2 linked regions of the Arabidopsis thaliana genome follow. The protein of the gene in region 1 interacts with the protein of each later gene in a pairwise test. Each region holds a gene or a part of one and is shown in the gene's direction. Other genes may lie near its edges.

Region 1 (4,368 bases):
GTTATCTGTTCTTTAAATGGAGCAGCCAAAAACCTCAAGTCAGAACAATGGTGCACAACTTGGTGGTACCAGTTCACTGTATTGCTCCAAAGAGGAGTCAGAGAGAGGAGATTCGAATCTTTCAACAAGCTCAGGATTTTCCAAGTCATCAGTGTTGCTTTTCTTGGTGGCCTTTTATGGTGGCATACTCCAAAATCTCACATCCAAGATAGAGTAAGGCTCTCTTCTTCTAGATGCTAACACACATTTTATTCAGACATCAGTATTCTAATTCTAACCATCATTCTACATTTATTCTGAATGCAGACTGCTTTGCTCTTCTTCTTCTCGGTCTTTTGGGGCTTCTACCCGCTATACAACGCGGTTTTCACATTTCCACAAGAGAAAAGAATGCTAATCAAGGAACGGTCTTCCGGAATGTACCGTCTTTCCTCCTATTTCATGGCTAGAAACGTTGGGGACCTGCCCTTGGAACTTGCCCTTCCAACTGCTTTTGTGTTCATAATTTACTGGATGGGTGGACTTAAACCTGACCCAACAACGTTTATCCTCTCGCTACTGGTTGTTCTCTATTCTGTCCTTGTTGCTCAAGGTCTTGGCTTAGCCTTCGGTGCTCTGCTTATGAACATCAAGCAAGCCACAACGTTAGCATCTGTTACTACACTCGTTTTTCTCATAGCCGGAGGATACTACGTGCAACAAATTCCTCCCTTCATCGTATGGCTCAAGTACCTAAGCTACAGCTACTACTGCTACAAGCTGCTTTTGGGTATTCAATACACTGATGACGACTACTATGAGTGTTCAAAAGGAGTCTGGTGCAGAGTTGGAGACTTCCCAGCAATCAAGTCAATGGGATTGAACAATCTCTGGATAGACGTGTTTGTTATGGGAGTGATGTTGGTGGGTTATCGGCTCATGGCTTACATGGCACTGCATCGGGTGAAGTTGCGGTAAACGTGCAGCCGAAGGTAACAACAACTAAGTAACTCCAAGAAGCTCCAAAGAAAATTTTCCCCACTGCAACCAAGGAATAATAGTAGTATTAGAAAAGATAAAAGTCGTCGAATTTTGGTCGATTTTACTTACGTATCCGAGATATATATCCGACGACTTTCTTTTTATTTTAGGCTAGATGATGATAGTACTCCTAAGTTTGAGAATAAAACAGTGAGATAATGTATGAGATAAGAAGGGAAACCAAGTATATACTAATTCCCATTTGCAAAAACAGTGACTAAACTTTCGGTCCACTCTTCCATGGAAATGATTGTTGTATCTTTTGTGGGGTTCCTTAAAAAGAAAAGGTCTACTCTATCTCTACACATTACTAGTCACCTGCAAGTGCATATCAACTGGTGAAAATCAATGAAATGTATGTATCAGATAATTAAACAACTTGCGGATAATAAGACTAACAACGACAGGACATAAGCAAACACACCTGACCATGGCTCTCCTTATCATCTCAAGTAACTTTACTGGTACTTTGAAGTTTTCTTTACCACACATATAGACTTTTTTCAACTGCAGAATTTATGTCAACAATAGCTACAGGAATAATGTGCTTTCGCTTTCATGATAAATACGAGTCGAATAATTGAAACTTTAAATGGCTGTTGTTATACTTCACATCGTTACTAGCTACACAATAATTTAAAACCAAAAAGAAGAAGTGGGGAAGCTACAGTGTCTGCAAAACAACATAGAGGAGCAAAAAACAAATCATTGGATGAGAAAGGCCCACAAGATATGCTTACACATTAAAACGTGATTCACTTTAGTCAAGTGGAAGCTGATGCAAGAAGAGAAATCCATGTCACTCTCTACTTTGTCAAGTGTCATTATCATCACCTAGAAGAACCATCTTCTAACCCTTCCAAGTAAAAACTTGAAACGTCATTCACTAACTTGTGTTGCTTTCTCAGACCTAAATACATCATCCTTTCTAGTGAGTGATATACATACGAAAGCAAGAGAGATCATCATATGATCTAATCATGCTCTTTCCCCCTTTATACCACATATAATAACTACACAAGTTGCCGTTTTTAGTCTACTAAATGACCATAAGCATCTTTATCTTAACAAAGATAAGATAAACTAACCAGAGAAGATGAGCAAACATGTCATCTCTTAAGTCATAGATATTAACCAAGTTTGTGAAAAACCTTGTCATTCACCACTCAGAGACAAGAACTAAAAATCTCTAGTAGACTAAGACAACTAAAATCAACTAATACATTTAACAACCACTGATATCGATTAGGGTTTCCACTCACCACATCGTTCTCCTTTTAAGAATATGTCTCATCCAAGTTGACGGTGACGCAGCGGCGAAGAAGACTCTCTACGGCGATGTTGCGACGGAGCATCCGCCATGTACGAATAGCGACCGGCATCAAACTATTAAACGGTGCCGTTTGTCACCGAAGACTAAAAGTTCATTTTAAATTGCATATTAACCCTTACATTTTACCTTTATTTTCGATAAACATCCTAATTATTTCTCTTTTTTCTGAAGCCCAAATAGGCCCAAACTGAATTTTAGCTATCTTCTTAAATTGCACATTAGCTCTTACATTTACCTTTAATTTCGATAAAACATCCTAAATATTTCGTTTTTTATGAAGCCCAAATAGGCCCATAGTTTATGAAAGGCCCAAAATGAGTTTAGCGATCTTCTTTTAAGAGTCTTTCTTGTCTCTCTCGCCGAATTTTTCTCTATTTGACTGTTGTTAGGGTTTTAGCTTCTTCTCTAGTCGTTGTTTGTTTCTCTTTTCGGAAATAAAAAATGGCGGGAATTTCTAGGGTTTTGGGAGGGTTCAGGACACTGATGTCGAAGGCGGCGACTGTTGAGGCCGTTACTGTAGCCGGAGAAGGAAAAGGGATATTCAAGACTCGTCCGGTGTCACAGCAGCTAGCTAGCTTCGCCGGAGAAAGGGAACTCACTCGTGGTTCCGCTCTGAAGAAAGTTTGGGAGTATGTGAAGCTTCACAATCTCCAGGTTTGTTTGATTTTGGAGCTTTCTAAGGTTTTTACTTTGCGTAGATCTGTTTATGAACTTAGGGATTTGGTTGCTTTAGAGAAGGAATTGTTGCATGTAAACTAAATCGATTAAGCATTTTAGTGGCGGATGATTTGATTGTTATGTAGAACATGGATCTTGAGTAAAATGCATGTTATCTTGTGGTTGAGAATGGATTGTTTGGTTTTGACTATATACATGAAGCATCTTGTGGGTTTGGTTGTGAAGATTACTTGGATTGTTGTGTTGGTCATTATCTTAGAGAACTTGGAATTGTAGTGTTCTTTGAGTTTTGGAATTAGTCTATTTAATGTAATACACACAGATGATGTCTATATGTTGAATTGGTTGTTCAATGTAAACAACAAGCAGCTAATGTAGACCATAAACTTCTCTGTTTTCTGGATTATTCATAGTTTCTGTTTGAGTGATTCATTTCTTGCCTCATTGTAGAATCCGGCGAACAAGAAGGAGATTCACTGCGATGATAAGTTGAAGACGATTTTCGATGGCAAAGACAAAGTCGGAATCACAGAGATCATGAAGCTCCTCTCACCACATTTCCCTAAATCCGTCTGATTTGGTGATGTTTATCTAACGTAGTTGTATCTATCTAAGAAGAAATGGTTTGGCTTTTGTGGTTCATTTCGGGTTGTATATGAAACTCTAAACCCGTTTGAACTTTGGTATGTTAACAAACCAAAACAATAACTCTCTTTTGATCCATCTACCGGAGAATATTATGTAGTTTGACCATTTTATCTTAATATTGTTTGATTTTGTGAAATTACTCCTCTCTCTAATCTTTGATGGCTTTCTGCTCTAATAGTCTAATGTGTCGTGTGAGCAACGATTTCGTTATTATTGTTTAATGCATATGAATGGTCACAATTATTTTATCCTCTGATGGAGAAGAAACGTGTCATGATCAGAAGAGGAATAAGAATGCGTTGTTAAAACGAGCAAGCATCAACGCGTCCATTTCGGTTTAAATCAATAGCTAAGAGCCTTTTTCGCTACACATAACCAAATATCGCACACATGTATGTGTCTAAACATAACATAGTATATAGTTCATTTTTCCATATCTTGTATCTCTCTCTATTCATATCATCTTATTATCTCTCAAGTTCTTGATTTTAATTAAAGATGGGTAAAGACGACCACCACGAACAAGACAAAAGATTCTTCTCACATCATAATCATCACGGCCATGGGTATCCGCCAGGAGCTTATCCTCCTCCACCGCAGGGAGCTTATCCTCCACCGGGAGGTTACCCTCCGCAAGGTTATCCTCCACCACCTCACGGCTATCCACCGGCCGCTTACCCACCTCCACC
Region 2 (5,359 bases), on another chromosome or scaffold:
ATTTTAGGTGTGAAAAGGCTAATTCTTCTCTGTTCTCTCTAGGTGTTTCATGGATTACACCTTTTATATTACTTTAACCATCTTAGAATTTGCCTTGTTCTTGCATGTGCTATGATTGAATTCAATCAATGGGTGATGAGAAAATTGACCCAATAGAATAATAAATTAACATTGATAATCGTCGAATGGTTCGGTGAGATTTGCACATCCAAATTTTCCACACACAAAAAAGAATGTTATGTTTTTTATAGTCCAAAATCCAGTTGGGTTACATTATCTTACATGTATGTACAAAGTTTTATAATATTAATAAAAAAACAAGCAAAGAGAATTATTGAATGTTTTGATTGTGGTAAAAGCCATGAATCATGGACCTCCACAGTCAATTACTCATTCAATTTCTCTTGGAGCTATTTGTCTCTGCCAGACTCATTTAATGTATTATTTTCATTTGCTTCCACTTTCTCTCATACATGTATTAGTACTAACCATTTTGATTTTTGAGACTTGAACTCTCGGTTAGACATTTTATCCATCCATGCAATTGTGTTTATCGATCAATGATCATCAGTAGGATAATAAAAGGCTTTATTAGTGAATATAGTAAAATTGTTTCACTGATAAAACCTTTTGGAATGTGTTTACTTGATTATTTTGATCAATGATCATAACCTAGGTAGCTTTTTGTATTATTCTTCTAGTCAATATATAGGTAATATAAGCAACTCGTGTGTCTTTGACAAGCTGGTGACTGAATATTATATTTTAATTACCGTCTAATCAAACACTAAACCATTTTTAAAATCGTTAAAGCGAATTTTGGCATATATGCAGAGAATTCCACGTTTTTATAATAATTTAGAGAATGTGCATAAATGAGAAGAAAATGCAAAGCACAATAGGCTACATTTTAAAGGTCAATGACCTCACTTTGTGTGTAGATTTTATTATTTGATTGTTTTTTTCGTTGGGTATAGAAATGTCTGATTTATGTGTGGAATAAAGACGACGACTTTGTTAAATTATAAATTATTAAATTTTGTTCTCTTAATTAATACTCAATCGGCTTTTTCTTATTTTTTTATTATTATGGCTGATACCACGTAAACCACGAGTAAGTATGTAGTACAAATCAATTACTTTCTAATACTACATAAAAATTATATACTAGTACTTAATTTCTTACAAGAAATACATACATCATTTAAAAACAGTATTTGATGTTAATATAAGTAGTTAATAGTAGAATAGCTGATAAAATAACGTGATTTATGTCCACAATTCGTTGATTAAAATATTGAATCCATGGTTGGAAAAAACTGGCGAAATCAGTAATTATTGTCGGCTACCATATAGGGACATGATGGTTTTGGTTCGTCTTCCATGTACACCAAATCAGCAATGAGAAAAAGAAAAATGGGGAAAATAAATAATTCTTGTTATAAATATTATCCTAAGATTTATTATCACTTATTATGGGAGTGAAAAAGAAAACAATAAGAAGGAAAATGAATGGGAAATGGGAGAAAATGTAAAGGAATTAGGGGAATGAAGTCAAAACGGTGGTCCAAAAGACATAACGAAGGACCATTGTAAAATTGTGTGATTTATTTGAAATCAGAAAGTTTAACACGAAACCCTAAAAAAACAAAACAAAAAACAAAAATAGGAATAATAATTATGCTATATGGTCAAAGCTAAGCAGTTGGGCTATTTTCATTTAAATTTATTCGTTTTGGTCTAAAACCTATCGTGAAAAAAGTGAGAAAGTAAAGTTTGAGGTACTGTGGAGGAAACTTCTTCATTTGGGTAAATCCCAAATCCCTATAAGGTAAATATTATGTGTTCTTACAAAATTTGGTTTTTCTATGACAAGTATATTCTTTTGACCAGCTAAGCTAACAAATGTATGTTCAATTGGTTATATATCGATCGGGGCAAGGGTAATACTCGAATCTATGTTCTTTTCATGCAAGTTATGTATGTAGCCTTGTGTAGTTCTCTGGTACGTTGATATGCAATGATTCTCTCGAAAACTATTTAAAAAAATTATTTAAGATAATAATGAATGGGGTCACGAGTCAAGACTAATGTAACCAAAGTCAAATGGATTTTCGTATGATTACTACTTTTGTAACCAAAGTCAAATGGATTTTCGTATGATTACTACAAGCTTGTAGGTCAAAAAACACATGTCACCTCTCTGTTTAGTATAATAAACCAATTTTATAACATCATTCTTTTTATTTGCTAGTTTAATCGTCTAAATAAGTGACCCAACCATAAACCATATCAGATTATGAAATTTTGACTTTACGATAGTTTACGTATCCTCAAATTCCTCACGTATATGTCATGAACAATTCTTAAACAACAAAATTATAACTCTCTTTTAATTAATGTAGTTTTTTCGTAAGAACTCAAATTGATATTTAACAAAAAAAATGAATGAAACATTTCTCAAGTTTTAATAATTATTTTTTGGAATTTTGCAAAACATATATAGAGAGATAATAATAAGTATGAATGAATCCAAAAAGAGACAAAAAGAATAGATGGAAAAAGAGACAGTCATCTTTAAGAAAGAAGCCAAAAACAAAAACTTGCTCTTTTAATCCCAACCCACACACCTCTCAAATCCTCCTCTCCTCGTTTCTCTTTCTCTCCTCTTCACAGAACCAAAACATATCAAACCTTTTTTTCTCTTGGGTTTAAGTAAAAATCGAATCTTTGTGTCGGTTTTTAGGGTTCTTGAAACGATATGGGTAAGTCTAGTGGTAGAAATGGTAACGGAAGCTTTAACGGCAATAAATTTCACGGAGTTAGACCTTACGTACGGTCTCCAGTTCCACGGCTTAGATGGACGCCGGATCTTCACCGTTGTTTCGTTCACGCCGTCGAGATTCTCGGTGGTCAACACCGTAAGTTTATTATACTTTTTTTCTCTTCAAATCTTTTGTGAAAAAAACCAAACTTTTGTGTGTTTGTTTGCTTCAAACATCCTAAAGTTACGATATAACTAGAAAAATTGGACTTTTCTCATTCTTTTGTCTCAATCATCGTAAAAAATCAGTTTTTGAATAAAATCTTCACACTTTTGTTACTTTGTTTCATTCTTATCTTCAAAGTTTGGATTTTTATGCTAAAAAAAAGGTTTGAAGTTTCCTTATTGTGTTGTTTATCTTCATCATCGTAATGAATCATCTTTGTCAAGTTACCGAGTCAAAACCTTCACGCTTTTGTTGTTTTGTTTCATTCATAAAGTTTGAGTTTTTGTTTTTTTTCATAAAGAATCATCATAGTCACCTTTTTGATATTTTGTTGGGTTTGATGAAACAGGAGCAACACCAAAACTTGTTCTTAAGATGATGGATGTGAAGGGACTTACCATTTCACATGTCAAAAGCCACCTTCAGGTAAATAGTAATTAATTTTACCAAAAACATCAATTTTGTTTTCTTCTTTATTCATATTTCATTCATAACACCTTGTTTTGATTGTTTTGAACATATATATAAACAGATGTATAGAGGAGGTTCAAAGCTCACTTTGGAGAAACCAGGTATTATTTTTTTCCTTATAATTATGAAATGAATCAATGATGATATTTGGAAAAAGAATGGGACCGTTGATTTTAATTTGAACTGTTAACATCAAACACATAATAATGGATGGAATTTAATTATTTTACTGTATCTGTTTGTAGTATGTACTATTGGTCTAGTGTCATGATTCATAAGACAAATGTCATAAATACATTTATATATTTTTCAAGAGTAATAGAACAGAAAATAAGAGAATATTCATTAACTAGTTTTTATTGTTTCTTACACAGAAGAAAGCTCATCATCTTCAATAAGAAGAAGACAAGACAGTGAAGAAGATTATTATCTTCATGACAACTTGTCTTTACACACAAGGAATGATTGTCTTTTGGGTTTTCACTCTTTTCCTCTTTCTTCACATTCTTCATTTAGGTATTTATTTTTATTTATAATTGTTTTCTGACAAAGTTTTTTAATTTTATTTCAGTAAAAAAAAAAAAAAAGTGTTTTGCTTTTTTGTTTGTCTGTATTTGAATTGTCCTTTTACTTTGGTGCAGAGGAGGAGGAGGAGGAAGAACAAAAGAGCAGCAGACTTCAGAGTCTGGTGGTTATGATGATGATGCTGACTTTCTTCACATCAAGAAGATGAACGATACGACGACGTTTTTGTCACATCATTTCCCCAAGGTATAAATAAATTTCTCTTTTGTCAACCGGTTTGGAAATTTAATGTTGCAAAACAAAATCAAGTCCGGTTATGAGTTCTAACCGGTCTGATTGAGACTGGTCAAATCCAAAGGGATTGAGTCCGGTTTAAGTACTACTTGTCATTGAATCTAATTAGTTTCATATAAATGGCATTTAACCGGTTTTAGTCCGGTTTGGTAACTAATTTTGTCTTTTGGTTCATTAGGGAACAGAGGAGTGGCGGGAACAAGAACACGAAGAAGAAGAAGAAGATTTGTCGTTGTCTCTGTCGTTAAATCATCATCATTGGAGAAGCAATGGATCATCGGTGGTGAGCGAAACGAGTGAAGCAGCAGTCTCGACTTGTTCAGCACCATTCGTATCCAAAGATTGCTTTGGTTCTTCAAAGATTGATCTTAATCTGTCAATTTCTCTCCTCGGTAGCTAAATAAGTTATGCAAGATTTAGGTTCAGAGAAACTATTCGGATGTGTTTTTGAAACTAGGATATTGAATGTTAGTAGAGAAACCTAGAAAATGAAGTTTAGATAAATTATCAACGCAGCGTTTTGATCGCCTTTGAACGGAAAATTAACAAACAGAGCCAAACGCAGTGTTTTGATCTTTGAAGGATAACCCCTAAACGCAGCGTTTCTATATCAAGATCCTACGGTTTAGAATGTTCATTGTTATTTTGGTCGGCAATCCTACGGTAGAAAAAATAATCTCGCAGATAAAACCCATTAAACGCTGCGTTTCATCGTTGGAGGGTAAACTCATTAAACGCCGCGTTTTACATTCAAAAAACTTGAAACTACCTTATAACCGCCCAGACGATGACCAACGTCGTCAACGTCGGCGAAGATGAATCTATCGAACCGTTTTGGCTCCAATTCCAAGACGGCGATACTCAACGATTCTTACTCCGACGAGAATCATTCTTCCTCCGCCGCCGCCGCCGTAACTTCCGTCGTAATCCCACCGTGCTCCGGCAATGTACTCCGAGCCGTTCTCTTGCTCTTCTTCATCTGCTTCTGCTTCTCCCTCTACAGAACTTCTGGTTATCTCCGAATCGTCTCTGACTCTTCCTCCACCCTCTCTCGCATTTTCCCCTCTGTCAACGATTCT

What was found. Proteins that work in one complex are often made in the same cells at the same time.
Region 2: the proteins of AT1G31760 (region 1) and AT2G02060 interact in a two-hybrid assay, tested with the Arabidopsis thaliana proteins (one large-scale study listed by BioGRID).

The regions. Positions count from the first base shown.
Region 1 is NC_003070.9:11,371,841-11,376,208, reverse strand, and holds AT1G31760 (SWIB/MDM2 domain superfamily protein), read left to right. Parts: upstream 1-1,907; 5' UTR 1,908-2,794; coding exon 2,795-3,007; intron 3,008-3,481; coding exon 3,482-3,607; 3' UTR 3,608-3,815; downstream 3,816-4,368. Other genes in the region: ABCG14 (ATP-binding cassette 14), read left to right, coding at 26-213, 307-957; AT1G31750 (proline-rich family protein), read left to right, coding at 4,178-4,368.
Region 2 is NC_003071.7:492,930-498,288, forward strand, and holds AT2G02060 (Homeodomain-like superfamily protein), read left to right. Parts: upstream 1-1,815; 5' UTR 1,816-1,831; intron 1,832-2,451; exon of another isoform or gene 2,452-2,746; 5' UTR 2,747-2,761; coding exon 2,762-2,921; intron 2,922-3,115; exon of another isoform or gene 3,116-3,153; intron 3,154-3,339; coding exon 3,340-3,416; intron 3,417-3,522; coding exon 3,523-3,562; intron 3,563-3,835; coding exon 3,836-3,977; intron 3,978-4,102; coding exon 4,103-4,232; intron 4,233-4,458; coding exon 4,459-4,680; 3' UTR 4,681-4,849; downstream 4,850-5,359. Other genes in the region: AT2G02061 (Nucleotide-diphospho-sugar transferase family protein), read left to right, coding at 5,096-5,359.